Linked DNA regions of Drosophila melanogaster. The protein of the gene in region 2 interacts with the protein of the main gene of each other region in a pairwise test. Each region holds a gene or a part of one and is shown on either strand. Other genes may lie near its edges. The genes, in order: Evi5 and Rab14.

Region 1 (13,250 bases), on a different chromosome or scaffold from region 2:
AAAATCAATAGGTATGTGTGTTGATTTACGCTCATTCAAACTAGTCATACTTTTAGGCGGTACAATTTTTGTGACAGTGCGACATGGCCATAATGAAACCTACAAGTTTACCTACATATACTTACACAGAAATGTAATGGAACCGTAAATTACGAATAGTACCCTTCGATATATGATTCTATCTGCTGTATATTCAAGCGGTGTGCTTTGCGGGAGACCACTGTACCACTAGCATGTATATTTTTGTGCTGAATTGGCAATCCAGTGACATTATTTCACTGCCACTATCAATCCAACGCAAAGATAATTGCGACAGCAACAACAAAACGAGCGAAAATAATGCCGAGCAGACAAGTGTACATACATACATATGTACATCCACATGTATAGGCGGAATGAATAACGATAACTAATTGTAGTCACAGTCTGTTAACAGATGTTTACATTACGCTGGCGGCAATACAAAAAGTAGCCTCTGGACATCAATTAATGGATCTTAAATTAGACAGAAGAAGCAAACCATAAGTTTCAGCTTTTCAGCTTAAACGTCAGAGGACACAACATATAGTTTGTGCATATATACATATACATACATATATTTCTAGCATGGTCTGTGAGTTGGGCCCCTTAATTATTAACGCCCACTGTGGGTTCTAAGACCTCTCAAGTTTCTACAGCCTTAAGCTTGAGTGCAGGCAAAATGTATATATGTATATATACGTATAAATACATATTAATATACCAGCACATAGAGTTAAGAGTGAAGAGTGAAGTAGCATGTGTGTGCTGGCAGATATTTCTGCACTATTTCCAGTCTAATTCATTCATAAAAAGTTCTTCACATTTCGCTTTTTTTTTTACTTCAGCTTCTTGGCTTGAAGTCGCTGGCTTCGTTGGCTTTTATGAGAATCGTTAGTTCCGAGCCGACTCATGGTTTTGGCATTATAAATATATGCATTATACATACATACATATATGCACGACCGTTAGAATCGTCGGCAGCCCGCAGATGGAAAAGGCAAACAAAGAGTATAAAAAACACCATCACAATTTCTGATTCGATTCGATTCGCGGGGTATTTCAAACCAATCGCTCGCTTTGTCGCAGGTAAGTTTTTTTTTTTTCTTCAGCCAGATTATTTGTGACTCATGGCATTTGGGATGTAAATTAGGTATTTCCAAAACTTGTTTTGCTTTACCCTTTCACTATCGATTTGTAAAATATCTGTTTTTAAATTGTGTTTCGTATTCCCTTGCTTTTACTTTTACCCATGGAAATTTCGTTTAGACTCAAAAAACATTTATTAGAAAGAATATTTAACTATCAATAAATCTTATATGAAATAATAATTCAGAAAAGAAATTTAGAAATTGTATCAGATTTGATTGTACATCCAATTTGGAAAGTTTGTTTTCCAAAGTAGAGCATTGAATATTCGCAAATTATAATAATAACTTTTGTGCCAGCCTCATGGCAGTGTTATTTTATTTTATCTCCGCGGTTTACTCAAATTATACATCTGTTGCGACCGCAGTCACATCTGCTCCACATCTTTTGCCGACAGCCTGTCGTGCGTATGACCCATTTGAATGGACTCCACTGTACCGGGGCGGCGATTAGTCAGAAACCTGATGGTGAATGCTTTAGCTAATTTTTTGTCCGTCTCTTTTTTTTTACTCTTGCCACTTTCGAACAAATCACAATTTGCTTATTTCGTGTTTTTATTTAACTTTGTTTTTGTTTTGTTTGGCTTTTTGTGTGTGATTTTGTTGCTGTTTTTTTGCCGGACATTAATGAATAATACATGGGTGACCGGGGCGATAGCATTTAGCGAAGTTCATTTGTTGTCTTGCTAATTTGCGCACGCACACACGCCGCATTTGCATTTGCATTTGCATCTGCAATATGCATTTGCATCTTTTAATGCAACGAGTCACGCCCCCAAGCCATAGAGTACCACTCGGCACACTCGCGGCAATGGCTATAAGGCACATATGTATATAAACAGCCAGTGCGCTGATAAGCCTATTAGCACATCATAGCTTGGTTGGCTTAGAAACTCATTCATTCCATATAGGTTTGAAATATGAAAGTGTAGATTTTTATTCAAGTTAGACGACTTTAAGCAAATTGAGTGCAACTAGTATCACAAAATTTCTCAAAGGATATGTTGGATGTAAGCCCATGGGATGGCAGCAAATCCTAATCATACGTCTGGCCCGTATAAGAATGTTTCCTAATATCACAGCAAGTTGTTGTGCTTCGCTTGCTGTCCCCAATGTAATTTAAGCCCAATCATCAAAAATTCAAGAGTGCCACGCCCACGCAATCACACGCCCAAACCACCGCCCACTTGTGTGTACATACATATAGATACAGATACGGATACGGGGATACAGATACAGATACAGATACACAACACCGATACATATAGAACCAAGCCCTGAGTTGGCCAACTCTCATTAACCCAATTTGAATTGTTGACTCGCTGGCTATCTCGCTCCCACCCACGCCAATCGAGCCCTTGGCAATGGTGTGACGTCAGTCACAGTAAACACTCGATAATGGAAGCTGCTTAAATTATTCACATACTTTTACCGTCAAATAGTTGAAACATGGGTTTGAAAAATTCTCTTACTTTGAAACAATGTTAGCTTAAAAGGCAAAGCTATGGTTTCACTTAAGGAGCGTTCACTGTCTCTGGGTGGCAATTACAAAATGCATTTACCTGTCTGCTTGCCACAATTAGTGGAAATGCCAATGTGGCAATGTATATACATAATACCCAAGTGTCGCCCCAACTCGAACTCAATTTTCCATCCATCGCCACGAATTCTAAACAAGTGAAAAACAAGTGCAACAGTGGAACTGATAGGGCGTAGTTACCCATTAAAAACCAGAAGCAGGAAGGGCGAAATAGAAGCCACAGGGGGGGTGTACGAGGCCCAGACGATAAGAATTCGACGATTTCTTCAATCAGTCAAAAGACGCACTCCGCTCGAGCACAATTCAAGATTTGAGAACAATGAAACTTTATCGCGCAAATGACATTTACAGCTGCAGTCAAAAAAATGGGTTAGTTTGATACTTTTATAATATATACTTATACTTATACCTTATATACTTTTATAATAACTGAATTAATGGTAAGTTTGCAAGTGAAATACATTTAAATATTGATAGTTTACAGTTAATTTATTAGTTGTTTTGTACTATTAGCAAATCGAACTATTTCAACAACTTTTGTAGTGCATTTGAGTGGATTGAAAGGGGCGGCACGATGAAATAAAGTCTAGCAAACGGAAAATATGAAAAAAGGGGAAAAGGCAGCGGACAAATGGAATTATGAAATACAATTCCCCTGAGTTTTTTTTGGCCAGCCCCAGCCAACTTCCAAACTCATTAACATAATTCATTCAGCACATGATGCTGTATGCTACTAGTTACACTTGAAAAAAAAAACAGCTGGGATAACGCAGAGTAATATGGCAAATCTAGAAAGTATTTTGTTATTGTAGCTGTTTTTTTTTCATTTCAGTACTTAATGAGATGATCACGAAAAGCAATGACCTTTTAACTTAATCATTTCAATTAGCAATCAATTTAAATGTCAAGTTCAATTCCAAAAGGGATTGTTACAACACGATTCGAAATAATACATCTCCATTTACAGTGTACTCGTACAATTGTTGTTTCAGTTGCCATTGGCTAAAATAAGTTCCCAGTAGTAGCATTCACAAGTGCTTCAATAAAAAGTGTTTTCAGCGCAATATTCGAGCCGTTTTGGATTTCAACAGCCACAAGAAACCGAATTCGAAACCGAGACTGAAATTGAAATTGAAATCGAAATGGAAATGGAAATGGAAACAGACGAAACTCCTTCAGTTTCCAGCAATAATAAATAGCAAAAACGATATGTGTCTGCAATTGCTGTTGAATGACTGAGTGAAAAAAATATAGGGAGCGGCAAACAAAAACAAAAAAATCAGGAAAGAAAACTGGCTGGCTGAAGAAAACAACAAACAAACCGACATTGTTGGCCAAACTGTAAAATCATTGCTTGAAATCTGGAATTTGGCCAAACTCACAGTGGCTATTGGCTAACAGAAGCAAAGGGAAGAATATCATTGTAAATACGAAAAGTACACAAATTATTACAATAAACAATATTTCTGGTTCAGCTGTTACAAAAAATAAAGTATCGTAATTATTTCGCAGTTATCGGGCATTCACTGTGCCCCGAAATACCAGCACGTCTGCATTGGAGATTGGCACACATATCGGTATCGCCACTACCGCTTCTGTTGTTACCTGCTTTTCTATGCTTTGGGGCAGGTAAATCAGGTAAGCCTCCAGTTGGCCAAGTGGCCATAATAGCTTGGCCACGACTGTGTGGATGCTGGATGCCCCAGCCCCATTGTTGTTATTTTCGATATTTCTTGGCGAAACATACATACATATCGGTTTTATGTTGTGGAAGCTATTGCCTCTGATTTTACATAACGGCACTTTTTGCCTCGCCAGAAAGGGACGGCTAACAAAAGGTAGCTGCGCAATCGCAAGAGACGGCATGAGGTTGTCAAACTTTTTTCGAAAACAAATTTCAGAGGAAGTAACGAAATGCCAATAAAGTAAAGCCACGCTACATAGATACTTTTCGTTGAGCCCCACAAAGAAAGGTGGCAGCTCGATCATGAACTTGACTCCAATAGTTAGTATTCGCTTAAACAAGTAATTACATATATATTTTATAATTTAAAATGCACTTAAAATGTTAACAAAATCGCATTTATTTCGGAGTCTTTTTTTGCACAGTGATCACTGTAATTTCACAGTTGGCTTACTTAATTTGCGTTTAGTTTGGTTGCGCGAAAACGTGTTGGCAAGCGCTTGGTATGATCCGTTAAAAAATATGTATACATACATAAATACAAAATAAACGCCGATAGGGAAACAGACTCAAGTGCAAATTATTTTTGACATATATTTTTTGCGGCTTTGCGGCGAAGGTCGAAAGCTCGCGCGATCGAAATGGGCAACATAATAAGCAGCAACAAACAACCGCCAAAATATCATAAAACAATGCAAATAATGAAACATGGCGAAAACACTTGAGCAGATAGTTGAAAAACCCGCTAAACGCAAAAAGAATTCCGTTTGAAATAACCCAAAAAAAGTATCTTGACTTTTGTTATTTATCTTTTTTTTATATATGTATATGTTTTTTTTTTGTTGGCCAGAGAAGGCAGAATGAAGGCTATCCTGCCCCAACCTTCTCCAGATAATGACGGATGATACACCAACACACCCACGAGCTCTGCAAATTTATGATCATAATTAACATGACGATGACTTTCTGCTCTATGTGCTCCACTAGTTTTAATGCTCGTGATTTAAATAAATAGCACAACTGAAATTTGAATAAGCACGCAACAATCCCCACGCACAAAAAAAAAAAAACAAAAACAAAAGACTTGAGTGCGATGGGTCGGGTACAGCAGAGGTCAAAGGACTATGGCTGCATTTCCAAAGCAAAGTAAAGTATAAAGTAACTGAGCACTTGTCTGCCTTTGGGCATCTTTAAGATCTCGATATAATTTAGCAGAAAGCCCTCAGTTGCACGTATATGTAATCTACATACGGATACAAAGCTTATCACGACCGGCAGATAAACAAGAGTTCAGCAATCTTTTAGCTAGTTTCGACGAAATTCGCTGCAGCCAGTTTGTTTTTAATGCAATGAAAGCGTTAAATTAACTGTATTCATATTAAACAAACAACAATGAAGCTTAATAAGCTAGCAATTTACTATTTTTAATGCTAGTTTTTTCACCCCCACTGTTCGTTGCGTCTACGTAGGCCATGTGCAAGGTGGCAACGCTGCTTGCAAGGTGTCGCCGAGTTGGCAATGCGCAGGCGCAGAGCGGGCTAGAGCGAGATGGAGAGATGCACAGTGAAAATTGGAGAACAAGATTAGATGTTATTTTTAAATATTACTAAGCCATTGGTCGTAATTAATGGTTTACAGAAGAGTGGACGTAGAGTCATTATTCTTCGATTTCCATTTCCATTTTATAACTGGCAAATAGTTTTTCCCTCCCTCGATTGCTGAATTTTCCCACTGTGCGTTGGGCCCACGAAAAGTGGGTGGAAAGCAAAGGAAAGGAGAGCAAGACAAGGTTACAACAGAGCAGGAACAACAACAACAACTAGTGGCAGGAGCAGCTGATGCGGTGGGAGTGGAAGAGCAAAGCGAATTGGGAAAGAGGAATTGGGAAAGGGAAGCGGGCAATGGGAAATGAGCAATGGGAATGGCAATAGGAATGGAAATGGAAAAGGAAGTAAGAGCAGGGCTGCCCTGTTGTCATTGTTGTTGTTGTTGCTCAGCGAAGCTGCAAAGAACGATGATGAACGATGATGAATGATGATGGACAATGAGCGATGAACAATGGACAATGGACGCTTTTAATTACATTAATGCGCGAAATTTAAGCATACAAAATTAGTTGTACCCGATTTTCTTTTGCTGCTTCGCTAATTTGTAAAAAAAAAAAGGTAGCAACAGACACACACACGCGAGCATAAACCCACACAGACAGCGAAAGAAAGTTTCTGTATTTTTTCCCACTCCACTTTTTTCGTTGATAATGTTTACACACACACATTGAGTTTTTTTACGGAAGAAGTAAAGATGATGAAGAAGAACGACACATAAAATATAAATAAAGATGCTGGAACCTCACCTTTGCTGCTGCTTCTTCGGCCACTGTAAATGAACCGTTAGGCTGGAACAGGGGGTGGTGGTGGTTGCGTTAGTGCGCTGCTGCTGTTGTTGTTGCTGTTGCGGCAGCAACAAATTGCCGTTGTTTATCGTTTTTTTTTTATCCGCGTTTCGTTTTCAATCAGCTAGACTTTTCCACATTCGACGAACTCAATATGTCGCGATCAACTCGTATCCGATCGAGAATCGTTTGCATTAACTTTATAATACACGATTATTTTGACGACACTACCGAACTTTTTGCTGCTGTAAACGTCACACAAACACACACACACACACACGCACAGGCAATTGCACACACCTCAGCAGCAGCAATTTTTTCTCTCGCCCTCTCTCCCTATGCTGTTCTGTATGACTTTATTTTTATTTAAATACTAGTACTTTTTTTAAAAGGACTACTTTAATTCAATCACTCGTTATACATCGACCGAATATTGCACTGGAAAAAAATACAGCGTTCGTTCGACGACGGTGAATTCACGAATGTTTTTTTTCGCCCACTGGCGGTGTGACCGTCGCGCAAAAGCTGAAGTAAGCCGCTAAATAAGTATTACCATATACTAAAATTCTCTGAAGCGCAGATAGCTGATAACCGATAGAAAAGTTTCTACTGCATTATCGATTATTTGAATAATACCAAAAATACCAATGATAGCTGTTTAGCACAGACTCAAACCTGTACAGTGGGCTGCAAGTGCTGTTATTACATGTTTGTAAATGATTTTGAAACATTCAACCATATGAGATAAGTATGAATCTTAATGGAGTTATGTTGCTCAGAGTAATAAGTTGTTGTTCAGCATTCCATTGATGAAAAGTGTCCATAAGATCTTTGTCGTTTAATGATAGGAAATAGGCTATTTGTTGATAAATTTAAAATACATTTTGTGGTTAATGATTGTTGGCGACATAAATAACCCATAAAAATGCGCCGAGGCGGTGAAATATTTTCGCGGTATCTGCGCACGGGCACACCAGCTAGATGGCGTCTTTAGGAGTGTGTAAAATTAATCAGGAAAGTTACCTGAATGCAAACGCGATTTTAAAAGTCGCATCTGCTGATTAAGTGGGCAAATCGAGTGCTCCTCGCGCCACAATTAGTCCGTGGTACAGTGGCCTCACTAATTGCGCAAAACACACATCTGTAAGCGCATATTAACCGTATATTTTAAAGCGGTAAATCTGCGCTCTTTGCTAATTTTCATTTTCGTGGGAAAATCGCAAAGGGCTGAAACCTGCGATAATGGATATTTTTGATATGGTCAAAGCGGCGCCGCCGCCGCAAACTATTAATCCGGTGGACACCAAGCTCTCCACTCCGTCGCCCATACCGCCCGATTCGCCAATCGACGTAAATGGTAAATTGAGCATAATTTTGTTTGCCTGCAAATTGGCTGGCAATCCTAGAAGTTTAATAACCTCCAATCGTTTTTTCCATTTTCTGTCAGACCTCCTGGAGAGTGGAAACCAATTGGACGAGAATGACTTGCGCATGTCGAGAAAATCAAAGAATGTCGAACAGTGCAGCATTGATCTGTTTGATTCGGAAACATCATTCGACCATCTCGACGAGTCATTGGCCAAGAGGAAGCGTAAGAGCGTGGCTAACTCAAAACCAAACAAAAGCAGGAAATCCACTGTCTCTGCATCGACGCCGCACAACAAGAGGCCAAAAGTGTCCATTGACGACGACGGCGAGGCCATCGAGGAGGACCAGCAATCGATGGTGGTCGTTCCCACCAAGACGAAGGCTCAGCAAAAGATGTTCAGCGATCAGCAGTCGCCGAATGTTAAAAGAAAGGTGCGGGTGCTATTACGTCGCCTGAAACAGACAGAAATCGATTCGGCCGTCGAATCTTTGGCCAATTCATCATTTATCAATGTGCCCGAGATCGTTAACCAGAGCGGTACTAGTGGCCGTAGCAGGCACAAAAAGAGAAAAACGTCACCTAAGAAACAAAAGTCATCAACAGCGCAGACCAATTTCCACATCAAAGTTCCTTTGCAGAATGGCGCCAAAAAGCGTGCTCTGAACCACTCGTTGCGCGCTCATACACCGCCGCCCAGTTTGGCCAAGAGTTCTGAAAGCACACACTCCGCACTGAAGCGAAGTCCCAAGCCCAAGATCAAGGCGAAGAGATTATCCAGTCGCGGACGCAACACCGATCCGGATTTGGTTAAGCGTTATGGCGCGCATTTCTTTGGCTGTGTGGTGAAGGTGAGGAGGACGCGTTTACCAAGTGCCAAGTGGCCTGACTGCAAACCGCCTCCCATTGGCGACGGAGTTGTCAGGAAGGTGTATCCCAAGAAGGCGGTATCCTTCAGCGAGGCCGTCGAGATTCTGGGCAGCCCCGGGGGTCCATCACGTCGGTCTACTTTCGGTTCGCTTTCATCGAGAGGAGCTCCGAAACCGACACGACTGCAGCGTGTGGATGCCACTGGCAATGTGCTGGAGGACATAGCACTGACCTCCACGCCGCTCTTCTCGTCATCTTCTGGAGGCTCGCGCGAGCGGGTTAGGCGCCGCTCATGCAACGGTACGCCTGTGGTCGGAAGGCTCAAGTTACGCAGGTTGGGCCGCCTAAGCATAGACAACAGCTCCTCCAGGTCTGATGGAGGTGGAGATAATGATGATGACGATGAGGAGTATATAGGTAGGAGGATGCACTTATTAAACTGACATCAAACTCGATGTAATCGCATTAATCATGTCTCATTTTGTATTAAATGATTTCGTTATTTTTATGACAGGATTTGACCAAATCAAATTAAAGAAGAATTGAGCTAAAACTAATGCAATTCTCTCCATTTTTACGTCCAGTGCCCAACGATGTGCCGGGGTCCCAGAGATCTGGAACGCCTCCGCCCAAGAAAAAGAAGATATCCTTCACCACGACCATCAGTGATGATGAGGACGAAAAGCCGGTACTAAAAAAGCAGAAGGATGCACAAAAAAAGCAGCCAAAACCCCTAAAAGAAAGATCAAACAAAAAGACGGACAAGATGCTAAACGAAAAGGAGACGACTGACAAAATGCAAACGAAAAAGGAGAAAAAAACGGAAAACTCACCAGTTGTGGAAATTGAATCCTCCGATCCTGATGTCGAAATCAAACCACCAGTGAAGGAAATCGAAACGAATGAGCGAGAGGGAGACGCACACGAAACTGAGACAAATGAAGTAGAAAGAGATAGAGAAGAACAATTTGTGGATGCAACAGAGAAAAATACAGATGAGGCGAAGGAAAAAAAAGTAGTAAAAGATATGCCAGAGTTAAAAGAGGCTGACAATTCGGAGGAAAAATCGGAAGATGCTCGAGAAGAAGTTTTGCTAGACGAGGACGAGAAAAATCTGGAGGAAAATGCAGCTGAAATCAGCGATAACGCCGTCAAATCTTTAGAAAAACCAACGAACGAAGACAGGGTTGAGAAAGTAGAGGACGAGGTCGAGCATGCCGAGGAGTTCAGTGACTTGCCGACCCCACCACAGCTCCCGTCCACAACTGACGATAACGAAGATGACGTGCTGGAGATCCAGACGTCGTTGGACGATGTCCGTCAATTGCATACGCCATCATCCCGCCAGAGTACGCCCAAATCGCGCAGTCGCCTCGATTCCGGTGACTCCGATTGCAGCTTTAAGTCCGCCAGCGATAACGCCAAGCTGCTAGCTGGACAAGCCATTGAGGAAACAGAGCAGAAAGCAAGCAAAGCGCCGAACGATGACGAGGATCAACAAACAGCAGCAACCATCATCGGTGATCCCATCGATTCACCCGAACTGCCGGCCGAGCTTATGACCCCGCCCTCGGCGCCCAGGACAGTGAATGGTGAACCCACCAGCGAATCCAGATCAACGGCAACGACATACTACTCGCCCATGGAGGATCCCATGGCCACGCTAGATGACGTCATCATGGACCAGCTATCCGGTGAGTGCCAGACGATCGCCTCCATCGCAAGGCAATCTCAAATAATAGCATGAATACTTAGGGAGTACAAGTGGGGACTGTTAAGTCTTCAAGACAGTAAAGTACGTCATTTTCTACTTTAATTCTTGCCAAGTAGTCTCGCTTTTCACGAAACTTCTCTATTTTGTGAGGCCAAAAACTCTTACGTTAAAGCTCTAGTGACACTTGGTCATTGGTCAAGCATTCCATTGATTGATTTAATGAACATTCGCCCGTTGCGTACATTTGTCATTAAAACAACTACTTAATAGGCATTTTTTGTACTTTCTCTGGTCTTCTCTAAGTCTGGGTATCTTAATTAAGTGTAAGTGTATAGGCAATGCACAATTTCCAGTTGCAATTTGAACTTGCTTATATTTCATACTTTCGTAAATGTTAATTTGAATGCACCTTCTAATAACTATTTGCTCTGCTTATGCCTTTTAGAACCCAACTTTCAGTTGAACTCCAGCCGCCATGCCATCTCGAGGGGTACACTGGACGAAATAATGACCGCGTTAGAATCGTAGTAAGCTGGCAAATTGCGCACCAAGTACAGATAGACAGATACAGATCGAAACCGAAGCATACACACAGACACAGACATAGCTACAAACTCACACGCACACACGTAGGTTTATTAAGGACCGATTAATTTGTACATTTAACTGAATTTATAATTAGTTCTCCCTACGATCAAGAAGTAGTCTTACGTTTATTTTTAAAGACATATTCAATTTATATGCAAACTCACGTTGAAAATACCAAAGTATTTTTGCAAGAGAAAGCTATTGGTGCAAACGTTAATATTTTGCACTTATATGATTGCTAAATTAGTCAGCAAAACAGGGACAAAATTTAACACAGCTCACTCACTCAACTTGCAAATGTGTGCGATAGACCGTAAAAATTAATATTTTAATATTATTAACGGTTAAGCGGAATCAGAAAATCAATTTTCAATGTTTAAGCTACTTAAACAGAGCGTTACGTTAGTTTGACTTTCAAGAATACGTATTGTTCGTTTCTCATCCTTTTTTTTTTTGACAACTTAGATTTAAGAAACACTTGCGTTCATGCACATATATAAATATAAATATATATATTTAAGTATGGATCGTCTTAAATGTACTGTAAGTTCAATGTATTAATGTACATCATCATCATAAAATGTATGTATGTAAAAAGAAAACAGATTAAAAATGGATAAAATATGTTGCCAGTTTTCAATGGGATTGGCTGAGAAACTTTTTCGAAATTTGCCGCCATTTGAAGATGTTGCCACATTCGAACATTGACGTTGCCATATTGTGAAAAGTCTTGTACCGTTTATTTTAAGCTATGTAAAAATGATGTTATTTTTATTACCTAACATGTTTTTTTTTTCACAGAATATTCTACAGTTAATTTATACAGATTGAATAAATTTAATGTGCTAGAAAGAGATTTTTTTGTGACTAATTTGAATAGATAAATGGAAAGATGTTATCTTGCTTTATGAACAACACACACTTAACTTTCTGATATATTTATCAATCACAGGATAACTTAAGCTCGTTTTTATTAATGTTCTATTATATAATTAATATAATAAAATGTTTCTATACACAAGCAACCATCGCTCAGCGTTTCCGTTCTTATATATTCTTATTATAATAAGTATTATTTCGAATTTATGCAACGATTTTACGTTCGTTCAGTTTCGCGGCCAACGTTGCCACATGTTGCCACACGCTTGCCCCCAAAGGTGGCCACCTTTCATGCAGAGCCCCGCGTATCCAATGCAGCGCCAAAAGCAAAACAGTCGCAACTTTGACTTGTTGACGGTTGGTTCTCCTCGGGATTCTGGGGCCGCGTCAAAATTCCAGATCGTTTGGCGCGAGTGCGAACTATTTCAAAAGTTGCCCCTTTGCGTGAGACGTGCCCCCGAAATGTTGAACTCACAGGACCAAAGCGGGCCGGGCCCCTGAAAACCAAAAAGAAAATAAAGAAAGAAATTAAATAGATATAAACAAAAGAAAGAAAAAAACACACTATTAAATGATAGCACAAGTAATTTAGGCATAGGCCGGCCAAAACAATCAGAAACGGAGTGCAGAATGCCCATGAAGAAGGTGACGGTGAAGGAGTACGATTCGCAGGATGAGGCCAGCACCGAGCTGCTGGAGAAGCTCAAGCATCTCGACCGTCGTGTGGATGCCGCCGAGGGTGGTGGCTTGGCCAAGGGAACCGCCGGCGGACGAAGGAGCACCGCCTGCTGGCAGTCGATGAAGTGGAAGTCGGCGCTCAATCACATCGGACTGCTCGTCTCCCTGTCCATTTACTGCGGCGTGGGCGGATTGGTAAGCGATGGTGGGGGGCAACGTGTGTGCCCAGTTCGGTGCCCAGCAGACCCGAACATAACTAGGCAAATATTTAATTATTTTCAATATGTTTTTATTTATTTATTTTTGTTTTTCCATCCCCCCCTACCTTTGGCTCGCCTTTTGCGGCTGCCGCGAACATGCAAAATGATTTGTG
Region 2 (12,567 bases):
ATCCAGTCGAAGGTGATGCCGGTCAGCGGCTTGCCCTTTTGCGCACTCAGATGGGTGATGGTGTCGTCCTTGCCGGAGCAGTCCAAGGTCTGCGAGTGCACGGAGTCCACCACCTGGAACTGGCCGACGACGCGGTTCTGGCCATCGCGTGCCTGGATCATGAAGCCAAGGAACTCATCGCCGCCCAGCGTCAGGGTCAGCTTTTGATCCGAGCGCACATGGGAGGGTCCGGAGATGCTGTACGGCGGCTTGGTCACCTGCAGCTTGGCTCCGTGCTGGGGCGTCAGGTCACGACAGGCGGCCTTTGGGATAATGAAGATGGGAATATAAGGAATCTATCCGTCATGTATTTCGATGGGGCAGGTTCATACCTTTGGAGCACCATCGGAGTAGGCGTGGACACTGATGGCCAGGCAGGCCGCAAGAACCAACAAACGGAACATATCTGTTTAAGGGAAAATTAAAAATAATATCACATGAGTTGGAAACATCGCTTTAGTAACGATTAAAATCCAGTTGGTTGGCTTAATTATGCTACATCACTGTGAAGAACAGTCCACGTAGTGACGAAGCGCACCAAGTGAGTGTGCGAAATCCTTCCATTTTCCATAACCGAATATGCTTAAGCAGAACAAGTTTTAATGACACAAGTACTTGTCAATGTTTCTACTTTCAACTTCTAGTGCTTTCAAGTTGAATCCAATTACATATTAAAATATATTTACTGCCGGTCATTGTTTAACATTTTTAGATTCGTGCATGCTGCTTAATTGCGTTAACTAGTTTTTCATAAATTAATTAATTAACATTTCCACTCAAGTGAGACTTTTTTCACTGGCCTTGGCCAGTTTGACTTTGCTTAAGTTTTTTATTTATTTAGTTTTTTTTTTTTCCTTTTCAAAGTTTACACTTGTATACGTGGGCAGGCGCAAATATATTGAAAACTAGCTCCAATTATGCAGTTTGTCAACGCCAACGTTTATTATGCAGTTTGTTCGGTCCCAGTTGTCGCCATAATGGGTATATTTCTCTGCAGCCTTGACTGTTGACAGTCTGTGATTCTACAAGATTTGTGGATTAGGCTGCAGTGTTACTGTCTGATTTGTAATAACCAGTATTAGTGCCGAAAAAAAATGTCAATCAAAACATTTTAATTATTTACGGGAAACCACTCGAAGTGAACTTAACATTTCAATCACGATCGGCTCGTAAATCTTCAGATTCGCAGAATTAAGAAGGCGCAGACAAAAGCTTTGTTCAATATTGAAATTGGCCAAGATGCATGTTGATTAAACCAATTTTTAAAAAATCATCAAACTGGTTTTTCGGACGTAAACGAAAACTGTTTAAAGCCAAACCAGTTTGCAGTACATTTCCATAGAAGAGTAACTCTTTTTTTTACCGTGCGATAAAAATCGCCTAGAAATGACAAGTGACAATTGAAGACAACAGCCTAAGTACTTCCTCAAATCGAATTCTCAGGTTCAAGGTGGATTGGAGGCTTGTGGAGTTCGAAGTACCGATCTGATTGATCGTCGGCCTCCTCCACTTGGGTCGCCATGGATTCGAAAAGACCTTGTCAAGACCGGCCCGTAAGCCAAGTTTCCATTTGTCTTGCAATATGCTAAAGTTCAATATTGGACATGTTAGTGTCGGAGCCAAGTTTTGCTTCTTTATTTCTTTCCCTCTGCGACTTTTAGCCGTATATTTATGTATTTATGGGCCTTTGTCCAACCGGTTGGGCGATTTGTTTAGATAAAATCTCAATACATGGTTGTTTAATGTCATTACGCTGAGCTATGGCCATAGGCCTCAATTAGCCAACATTTATAATGGCTTGGAAAATATTATTATTATCAAGTTGGTGGGACAGAACTGCTGAAGCTTGAAATTCGCATTCATACCGAAACTATCTATGTCATTTCCGAAAAGGTTTTTTTTTTAATGATCATATTAGAATATGTATTCTAAATTAAGCTTAGTCACTTTAAAACCCGAAAAAAAGGAAGAGTACAAATCCTTTAAGTTTTTAAACCTTTACAACTGTTTCACAAAAAATCAACTGAACTTTGAAAATCGTTTAGGCCAAGTAAACTAATTGCTTAATCATTTAAACCTACCGATCAGAAATACACACACACAAGCGGCAGAAAAGAAAAACTTGAAATGAGCTGAAAATTCTAAAACAACTTCCTATTTATACCAAAAAACTGATCAAAAGTAGTGAAGTAGCTTTTGCAAAGACAACTTTGTAAGCCGAGCTTATACTGCCATACCAGCAAGTTGGCCAAATTCGAAAGCTCCGAAAGCTGAGCTTGCAAATTGAATTTTTAACGCTTCATTTGTGAAGCGACATAAACAGTGACTAAGTGTTTACTTAGATCCACAAATCAAATGGCACGCCAATTAGCAATGCGTATTGATTAGAAGGAGAAACTTGCAAATCAGAATTCGCTGTTGAATGGAAAGCATTTGGCTTATAGGTCAACTATCTGAATTGGTTTAAAATCGTTTCCGGTCGTTTAGTCAATTAAATATAGTTCAGGTTCAATATTCTTTTTGGGTTTCTTCTTTAGATTTCAAAAACTATCCTAAATTTAAATTGTTTTCATATTTGCTGACTGCACTTTGAAATGCTCTTTACTTTTAATATTATAAAGCTACTACTTTTAAGTATCCCCTATAACATAACATACAACCACATCAAGTGTCGTTACACTTTTTTCCAAATGGGAACACTTTTAAAATTCACCAATCTGTGGTTGTCAAATCCAAATGTCATTGTAATTCGGGACACTTCAGTATTTGAGTCAAAAATATGGGAGCAGAGCAATCGGCATTGTTGGCCTGCACTCAGACGGGCATCCATGAGGATCGCCTGGAAATGGATAACTCAAAGTTGTTCTTTCAATTGTACTTTGATAGGATGCCCCAGCCTGTGACGGGTCCCGTGACAGAAGCGCTGCTCCACTTGGTGGATAAAGTGAATGTGGCTGGGGCTAATAATGGTAATATCCGATACCTTTATACCAATTGTCCTTAAAATGTGTACTCTTGAAGCTGATGAAACCCAATCGATCAAGGACGAATGTAATAGCGGGGAAAGCGACACCATATCGGTGCTCAGTAATGACAGTGAAGTCTCGACACCAAGTTTGGATGTGGAAATAGAGCCCATACAGATAGCCGAATTTGAGCCGATAGATCAATACAATATGCCTATTGAGGAAACCGATCAGACATATACGCTACCATTGTTAAAATAAATATGTAGATTAATTTAACATATGAATTTATGTACAGAACTAATTGCAATTGTTCGTCTACTTAAAATTAACTTTCTTTAGTCTCAGCGACTTAATGGGTCTGACAATGCTCCTTCGCTCCTCGCGATGCTTTTTCATCTCCGCCTCGCGCTTCTTGGCATGGAACTGTGACTTCTTCTGCTTGTTCACTTCGAATGTCATCTGACGATTGCCCAGGGAGCGACCCACATTGGTGACCTGGCCCTCCAGCTGGGACATGACCCTTACGCGATCCTGCAAGCTCGCTTTTTTGATGCGCTGCTGCAGTAGACTGCTGCCTTGATGTTGATCCAAGGGGGTCATGGTGAAACGGTTGCCATTGGTGGTGGGTTGTTGGCTGTGTCCATTCGTCTGCGGTCTTTTTGCGGTATCCGAAATTTCATCCGGCTGCTGCTCGTCATCTTCTAGCTCCTCCTCTTCCTCACGTTGTCGCTTCACCTGTTTGTACGCCTGCTTCATTTCCTTGACATACTCCCTTCGGTCATCATCGTCAGATGAGGCCTCATCTCCGCTGTCATCCTTCGTTTCGCCATCGCTCTTCTCGAAGCCAAATAGGTCCTCGTCATTATCGCTTTCCTCGCGCTGCTGTGCCTCGTCCGCGTGCAACTCCGCCACATGAGCCACCTCCACGCGCTTCTTGAGTTCCTTGGCCTTGGATTTATCCAGACGGTTCAGAACAGGAGCCAGCAGACGATACTCCTCGGCAGACTTGTTAACTTCAAAGTCGGCATTCTCAAACATGGCCTTGAAACGCGAGTCCTCCAGCAGGCTGGGCACATTTCGCTGCTTGGCACTGTTGGAAGGATTGGCTTGCTCGTCCATAATCTTGAGAGCCAACTCTTTGTTGACTTTGGGCAGCTTGGATTCGATTTGCAGGCGGGACTTGCGCTCACTTTCGATTTCTTGGCGGATCTTATCTTTGCGGAAGCGGTCGAAGGCGAAGGGTTCCACAACTGCCTTGGCTTTGTTGTACAATCTTGCGTCCATAAAGTATCTGTAGAATTTTTAGGTATTAGACAAGATCTTTACCTCTTCCAATCTTTTTCAAACTTACCCGTGCATATAACCCTTAAGAAGATTGCTGCCAACGAGATGCTCCATTCCCAATTCAGCCAGCTCCTTCGCTGTGACGAACTGATAGTCATCGTACACATTCTCCACGACCTCCGATTCGATCTCCTCGGTGAGGTTATCCAAGAACGAGCACCATCGGGGTGCTGGACCCATTGCAGGCACATAATAGGTCATCATCTTAACATCCTCCTGGGCTACGAAGAACATGCCCGTGTCGGGAATGGTGCAAAAATCGTTGAATGACGAAGTCGACTCAACGTAGGCGATCTGCTTGCCTGTCTGCTCGTCCCACAGCTTCAGTGTAGCCTCGTCCAAACTATAGACGGCATTCTGAGCCGGATTAAAGGCCAGACGCTTGATGGGCAGTCGATTCAGATGATTCTTCACCAGCAACGGTTGCTTGGCGCGAATGTCGTAGATCAGCACGTGTCCCGAAGCAGTTCCCACTCCCATGTGCAAGCCGTTCCGGAATTTGAGGGCCGTGACCGATGGAAACTCCTTGACGCCCGGCAACTTCATGGCTACATCCAAAGTTGAACATCGTTGCTTGGTACGTGGATCCCAGGCTTCTACGGTGCCTTCTTTGGTACCGGCTACCAGAAGATGGTGCTCTGGATTCACTTCACAGGCGTTCAGGCAGCTGCCATCCGTTTCAAAGGGTTGCAGGAACTGACCGCGCTCCAAATTGAGTCGGAAAATGTCCTGAAATCAAATCTTTAGAATAAACTAGACATTAGATAGACCTCAGTTCTTACCCTGCCCACTCCCACGATGAACATGTCGCAGCTGGGCTTGTGGTACTTCATGTCGCGTCCAAAGCGCGGTATCCTTAGTCTGTAGTGCCGCCCGTGGGCCGCATGGATCTCCACATAGCGATCGCATTGCAGGAACACCATCTTGCTGTAGTCGTCGCTAATCACCTCAAAGGTGGTCACCTCGGCGTCGAAGCAGCGCTCGAATTTGATAGACAGGTTGGACACCTCGAAGCACTTGACGCGCGGCTTGTAAGTGCCGGTGGCCAGGATGTACTGTTGGTCGGGACTCATGCGGATGCTGGTGCAGACGCCGGGCATATCGAAGTCCTGGATGAGCTCGATCTGTCTCCGGGAGTCCACTTTTTTCATGAGCTGTGACCGCTTTCGCCGATCCGTCAGCCACTGTGAAGGAGATACTCATGAGTTAACTGCTTGGCAACGGGTTTATCTTGCTACTCACATCTGGCACCGACTTGCCGGCGCTCAGGTTGTAGATCTTCACATCGTTAACTTCGTTTACGAACATCTTGAGGGACGATTTTTGCTCAAAATTAAAACATAAACAAACGAAGTCCGCAACACGTGCGCCCTCTATCGATAGACACGATTGTCGATAGCATCTGGCTGCGATAAGCACCTATCGCGGCAGTGTGACCCTTGGCTTGCCAATTGCTCAGTGTGACCGCAGGAAACCAAGCAAAACAAGAGAACGCAAAAGCAGTGAAAAAAGACTACTGATTTGCATCGACCTACCAATTGAAAATAATCGCAATAATTGCCTCTCGGTGCAGCCCCGCAACCCCGCGAAGCCAGTGTGCGTGCTAGCACGAAAGTGAACTGCATTTTGCATCGCCAAATTGCCCAAAAATTGCAATCGAATTCCGCACAGCCAAACAACAATACGCACACATACACACAGTACCCCCCGCTCTGCGTAACCGCCCTACGTTACACATTCCGTTCGCTCCCTAAGGTGGACTAAAACTAAAGTGATCTAAAACGGTGAGTAATATTCGTTGTTTTTCCTTAAGCCAATTAAACACTGATTAAATTATGCGAAATGGAAAACCGTCTGCGAAGGGGTGACGCAGTGCAGCTGTGGGTGCTCCGCAACTTTCCCTTGTGCTCTCGCTCTCTCTTGTTTTTGTCGTTAGGCAGCAGCACTCCATTGTTGTTGTATACACCCCCTGATTGCTTTGATACCCTGCAATGGGGAGTTACTGTTTTGTGACCAAGTTAAGAAAATAAATATGATTTACAAAAATCGATTAATTCTGGGGATGTTTCAGGTTTTTATGGTGTATAATTTATTTTTTGAATTTTTAGGGGATGGTGGGGCAAAAACGGCCGCCACTCTACTTAAAAATCGGTAGGTGAGGAGTTTGTTTAGTATACGCTATAAATAAATACTCTAAATTAGTTTTTATAAGATGGATTATTATATGAGTGTATGAGTTATCATAGAAATATTTACCTGTGCTTATATATTAATTTATTATATGAATTATGCAAACAAGGTTTTTTCAAAATGTAGGCGAGCATGAATAAAAAATTATAATAAATCAGAAGTTTTCTTAGTAGTTGTTATCAGTTATTAATATATTTCTTTTTCATTTTGTTGTGTCTTATTGCGTTGTTGTCTTCAATGCGGGCTTATTTTATTAGTTTGAATGGATGTGCGCTTATTTGTAGATACTCAAATATCAAATCGTATTCAGTTATATCTTAGAAATGGAATATAAAGCGCACATTTATAAAAGTATATTTATATTTAAGATTTTTTGCCAAAGGGTATACATACTTCGTCTGTGTATAAATATATATTTCTCATACTCCTTTCGTTATTTTCCCTGTTATGGGTGCGCCGCTGTGTTCCTTTTATGAGGGGCAATGATGATCCACTTCCATTCAACACATTTTGCAAATAAGTACATATGTACTTCGCCTCCATTGATTGCTCCACTGATGTTTGGCCTTTGGCGCTTGACTGATAAGACTCGAGACCGAGACCTACTACTTAGTTAGTCTAAACTGCCCGTCATAGAGCCTATTAAACTGATATGCACTTGTCACTTTGACAAGCAATGATAAGCGATTATAACTGTATTTGATGATTTAAGTATGAGCAATTAAGAATCCATAATTGATACTCATCTTTTCACACTATATGCTGCTAAGTCACATTCTTTTGTATGAAATTCATTCATATGAAGTAAGGCAGGATGATTACCCTAAATACAAACTAACTTGATGAATAACTTCGCGCGTACTGCTCTTAATAATTGAATTCCCACGATTGCTTGCTCGGCGACCTTGATCCAAATCGCTTTCAGCTTGGGCGAAGGGTTCAATTCACTCTCTTCAGCGCCCCTTAACTGCGGACAAATCAAAGGCTTTCGAACGACACGGATACTGCGAATGGACAAAGTCAAGTGGCATGAAGTGGATATACCCGCCGCTCTTGAAGCTTGCCTCTTTCTTATTTTTTTTTTTTTTTGGCTTCAGTTGGCAGGCAAACAAACCCGGTCGGCTGTTCAAACACAAGCAGGCCTTAAAAAGAAATATCGGGGCCAGTTCGAGAAAGGGGAACAAAATGTGGTGTCGACGCAGAACAAATTAATGCAGCGCCTCGGTTTGTTGATAAGCAGCGACTACGGTTGGACATTCAAATGAGGAGCTGATAGTAGTAGTTAACACTGTTTGATTGGGTCAGAGTTCATTTCTGCCGGTGTCAAGATGAGCAAAGTGCGCAGCGTGGTGAACAAACTGCACGAACGCATAGACTACTTTATTGAAAAATGTGTGAAATATTCTATATACTCAATGACTCTGCAATGTAATAATAATAATAATTTCGCTTGCTTTTTAGGTCCCAACATGACTGCAGCGCCATACAACTACAACTATATCTTTAAATACATCATCATTGGTGACATGGGCGTGGGCAAGTCCTGCCTGCTCCACCAGTTCACCGAGAAGAAATGTGAGTAGACTGTGCTGAGTAATAATGTATGTAATAAGAACTAATCTCTACTTGCCGTCCTGCAGTCATGGCCAATTGTCCTCACACCATTGGCGTGGAGTTCGGCACACGCATCATTGAGGTGGACGACAAAAAGATCAAGCTACAGATCTGGGACACAGCGGGTCAGGAGCGATTCAGGGCAGTGACACGCTCCTATTACCGTGGAGCAGCTGGTGCGCTGATGGTCTACGATATTACCAGGCGGTAAGCGAAGCAAGCTACTATTTGAGAAATTGCTTTACAACTTGACCATTCCAGCTCCACGTACAATCACCTGAGCAGCTGGCTTACCGACACTCGCAATCTCACCAATCCCAGCACTGTGATCTTTCTCATTGGCAACAAATCGGATCTGGAGAGCACTCGGGAGGTTACCTACGAGGAGGCCAAGGAGTTTGCCGACGAGAACGGCCTAATGTTTCTCGAAGCGAGCGCTATGACGTGAGTTTCAACTGGAAGCATAGTGTTTGAGCATATACTGATTATCTTTTTTTTTATCGCCCAAACAGTGGCCAGAATGTGGAGGAGGCTTTTCTGGAGACCGCACGCAAGATTTACCAGAACATCCAGGAGGGTCGGCTCGATCTGAACGCCTCCGAGTCCGGAGTTCAGCACAGGCCATCGCAGCCGTCGCGAACTTCGCTGAGTAGCGAGGCTACGGGCGCCAAGGATCAGTGCTCGTGCTAAATGAATGATGGAACCTAACTTTACGCAAAACCTAGTTATACAAATCAACTTTTATTTTTAGCCGACTCGTAATCTACCGATGCCCAAGCAAAAACCAATGTATGTAGTTAAATAATTCGATTAAGCATCAATGTGTGAGCCAACAACAGCGACAGCAACCACAAAAAAAAAAAAAAACAGAAAAAGAAAATATAAAGTCCTTTCGCTTAATAAGACGCAAGCATTGCAACATTTATTGTATCGGTTAAGCATAAATACTAGAAAATTAAACATGTTTGTTGGCGCAAACTAAAGTTTTGACCATGAAATTTCGAAAAGTTTATCGCACTAACACCATCCTTCGGTCTCAATTTATAGATGAATTCGTTTGAGATATAGATCATGTTTTTGTTGGCTGATGAATCCCTGTATATAATATATATATGTATGAATTTTTGTATCTCCCTAATTTTTTGTTGAGTATTTGTTGTTGTCGCGTGCAAGAATTGGAGGAAACGATCAATGTTATATGAATATTTACGATGTATTAATGGCATAATGCAATAGGAAATAAATAAAATGGTATTTATAAAACCCCTACCAATAGAAATGAATTTCTCTTTCAAATAATTTAAATTTTAATTTGCATATTTAACCATTCGTTTATATTTAATTCTACACCAAATCGCTGGATAATTTTATAATTTACCGGATTTCCATTTAATAGATTTAAATTTTATAAATATTTGGGTACTTACGATTTACTTAAATATTTTGTAAAAAGCTTTTTTAATCCATTTAGTGGAATACCCTCAACTTTGACTTGCGCATAACTTCATTCTTGTTTTATTTAGTGATGCTAACGTTGGGTTGGAAATCAGCTGATTATGACTATGAACAATAAAGTTTGTAAGTCAAACAACGATTTTTCGTATACTGTTCTTTTGTTTGTTGCTGGTTGTCTAATTAATCATTTTAACTGGTTATCAGTCCAATTTTTGTTTTCTACACTACACTATTCTACACTATTTTCGATTTCCTTGAAATTTAGCGGGAAAAACTCTGAGCTAGCATCTTCGGTGGCATCGCTGTGTGCGCGCTTTTGTGCGAATGCCATGGTATGCAAATTAAATTTAATTTATTCCGATCATCATGAAAGTGACAAAGTAGCTGCTTAAGTAGCCAGGGAAGCGCACAACGTAATCTAATCTCGATCCATGATGCAAATCAAGCGCCTCCTGTGCAAATCCTGCGGCCTGGGCACCCTTCTGGTGGCGGTCGTCTGGCTGCTGGCGCTGCTTTTCTACTCGCACAGCCTGCGCAGCTCCATCCGCTCGGCAGGATGGAGGATCGACGAAGGGAACGCAACGCCACGGGCCGAGCTGAGCTACCAGGCCAGGGTCACCGTCGGATGCACTCCAAATGCCAGCATTACCACTGGCGAATCGCCGGCGGCACCCAAGCCGCCCAGTGATCCGGAGCAATTGGAACTGTTGGGTGTGGTGCGCAACAAGCAGGACAAGTACATACGCGACATTGGCTACAAGCATCACGCCTTCAACGCGCTGGTGTCCAATAACATAGGACTCTTCCGGGCGATCCCAGACACTCGGCACAAGGTGTGCGATCGCCAGGAGACCACGGAAGCGGAAAATCTGCCCCAGGCCTCCATAGTCATGTGCTTCTACAACGAGCACAAGATGACGCTGATGCGCTCGATTAAGACCGTGCTGGAACGCACGCCCAGCTACCTGCTGCGCGAGATTATTCTGGTGGATGATCACAGCGATCTTCCAGAATTGGAATTCCATTTGCACGGGGATCTGCGTGCCCGCCTGAAGTACGACAACCTGCGGTACATCAAAAACGAGCAGCGCGAGGGTCTCATTCGTTCCCGGGTCATTGGTGCACGCGAGGCCGTGGGCGATGTGCTCGTCTTCCTCGACTCGCATATCGAGGTCAATCAGCAGTGGCTGGAGCCGCTGCTGCGCCTCATCAAGTCGGAGAACGCCACTCTGGCCGTGCCCGTCATCGACCTGATCAACGCTGATACCTTTGAGTACACGCCCAGTCCACTGGTGCGCGGAGGATTCAACTGGGGCCTGCACTTCCGCTGGGAGAATCTGCCCGAGGGCACGCTCAAGGTGCCGGAGGATTTTCGCGGACCCTTCCGTTCGCCCACCATGGCCGGCGGATTGTTTGCCGTGAACAGGAAGTACTTCCAGCATCTGGGCGAGTACGACATGGCCATGGATATATGGGGTGGCGAGAATATAGAGATCTCCTTCAGAGCCTGGCAATGCGGTGGCGCCATTAAGATCGTTCCCTGCTCCCGTGTCGGTCACATATTCCGCAAACGACGTCCGTACACTTCGCCAGATGGAGCCAACACCATGTTGAAGAACTCACTGCGTTTGGCGCACGTCTGGATGGATCAGTACAAGGATTACTATCTCAAGCACGAAAAGGTGCCCAAGACCTATGATTATGGAGACATTAGCGATCGCCTCAAGCTTAGGGAGCGTCTGCAGTGCAGGGACTTTGCCTGGTATCTAAAGAATGTCTATCCAGAGCTGCATGTGCCGGGCGAGGAGTCCAAGAAGTCGGCGGCAGCGCCCATCTTTCAGCCTTGGCACTCGCGAAAACGTAACTATGTCGACACATTCCAGCTGCGACTGACGGGAACGGAGCTCTGTGCCGCCGTGGTGGCTCCCAAGGTGAAGGGTTTCTGGAAGAAGGGCAGCTCCCTGCAATTGCAAACCTGCCGAAGGACACCCAATCAACTGTGGTACGAAACGGAGAAGGCGGAAATTGTGCTGGACAAGTTGCTGTGCCTGGAGGCATCCGGGGATGCGCAGGTCACGGTCAACAAGTGCCACGAGATGCTCGGCGATCAGCAGTGGCGGCACACCCGCAACGCCAACAGTCCCGTCTACAACATGGCCAAAGGCACCTGCCTCCGGGCAGCTGCTCCCACGACGGGCGCCCTCATCAGTCTGGATCTGTGCTCCAAGTCCAACGGAGCGGGCGGCTCCTGGGACATTGTGCAGCTGAAGAAGCCAACGGAGGCGGAGGGCAGGGCCAAGGAGGCGAGGAACTCGGACAAGGCGCTGTGAGCGATTCGCTCGGATCGAATAATTCCGATTGCAATATTAGACTGATAACTGTTTAGGGCAAAGTGTATTATGTTTAAATAGCCAGTATTTTTTCATCAAACTTTTTTTTTTTAATAAATATGATCAAAATGTTGATGGTGCAGTTTGATTAATGGCCAATGGTGGTGGCCTTGGAAACAGGTTTTCTTTCAAATAATTTGCAAATTAATGTGTACGAATATGTTATGTCTGCATATTTAATGATTTTGTGATGACTTATCAAAATTTAACTTAATTGTGAAAATAAATGTATGTATGTACCTACAATTTACCTTATAAATATGCTTCGTATTCGTAATACGAATATCTTATATCTGCATATTTAATGATTTTGTAATGACTTATCAAAGTTCAACTTTGAATAATGGAAATTTTTGGACCTTTACCACTACAATTTTACTTATGAATATATTTAGATAGTTAAATTCTTGCAATATAACACCTTTTTTCCATTTGCTGCAATTTCAAAACACAATTTTCAATACCGACTATCTGGTGGTAATAGAAAAACCACGTTTTTTTTTATGTATATGTGTTATGTATATATTTATAAAGAATAAAAACTTTGTTAACTATAAAATAAACCT

Evidence for each region.
Region 1: the proteins of Rab14 (region 2) and Evi5 interact in a two-hybrid assay, tested with the Drosophila melanogaster proteins (one study listed by BioGRID).

The regions. Positions count from the first base shown.
Region 1 is NC_004354.4:11,447,053-11,460,302, forward strand, and holds the start of Evi5 (ecotropic viral integration site 5), read right to left. Parts: upstream 7,287-13,250; 5' UTR 6,744-7,286; intron 1-6,743. Other genes in the region: HP5 (heterochromatin protein 5), read left to right, coding at 8,025-8,139, 8,230-9,435, 9,603-10,712, 11,178-11,260; CG43155 (uncharacterized protein), read left to right, coding at 12,830-13,072. UniProt on the Drosophila melanogaster protein: Functions as a GTPase-activating protein (GAP). During border cell migration in the ovary, acts as a GAP for Rab11 and is necessary for the maintenance of active receptor tyrosine kinases at the leading edge.
Region 2 is NT_033779.5:14,349,338-14,361,904, forward strand, and holds Rab14 (Rab14), read left to right. Parts: upstream 1-7,703; 5' UTR 7,704-7,870; coding exon 7,871-7,934; intron 7,935-7,943; exon of another isoform or gene 7,944-8,003; coding exon 8,004-8,117; intron 8,118-8,182; coding exon 8,183-8,363; intron 8,364-8,417; coding exon 8,418-8,600; intron 8,601-8,668; coding exon 8,669-8,846; 3' UTR 8,847-9,427; downstream 9,428-12,567. Other genes in the region: l(2)34Fc (lethal (2) 34Fc), read right to left, coding at 1-302, 372-443; CG43052 (uncharacterized protein), read left to right, coding at 2,819-3,008, 3,061-3,266; l(2)34Fd (lethal (2) 34Fd), read right to left, coding at 3,324-4,299, 4,360-5,081, 5,135-5,536, 5,595-5,660; Pgant35A (polypeptide N-acetylgalactosaminyltransferase 35A), read left to right, coding at 10,043-11,941.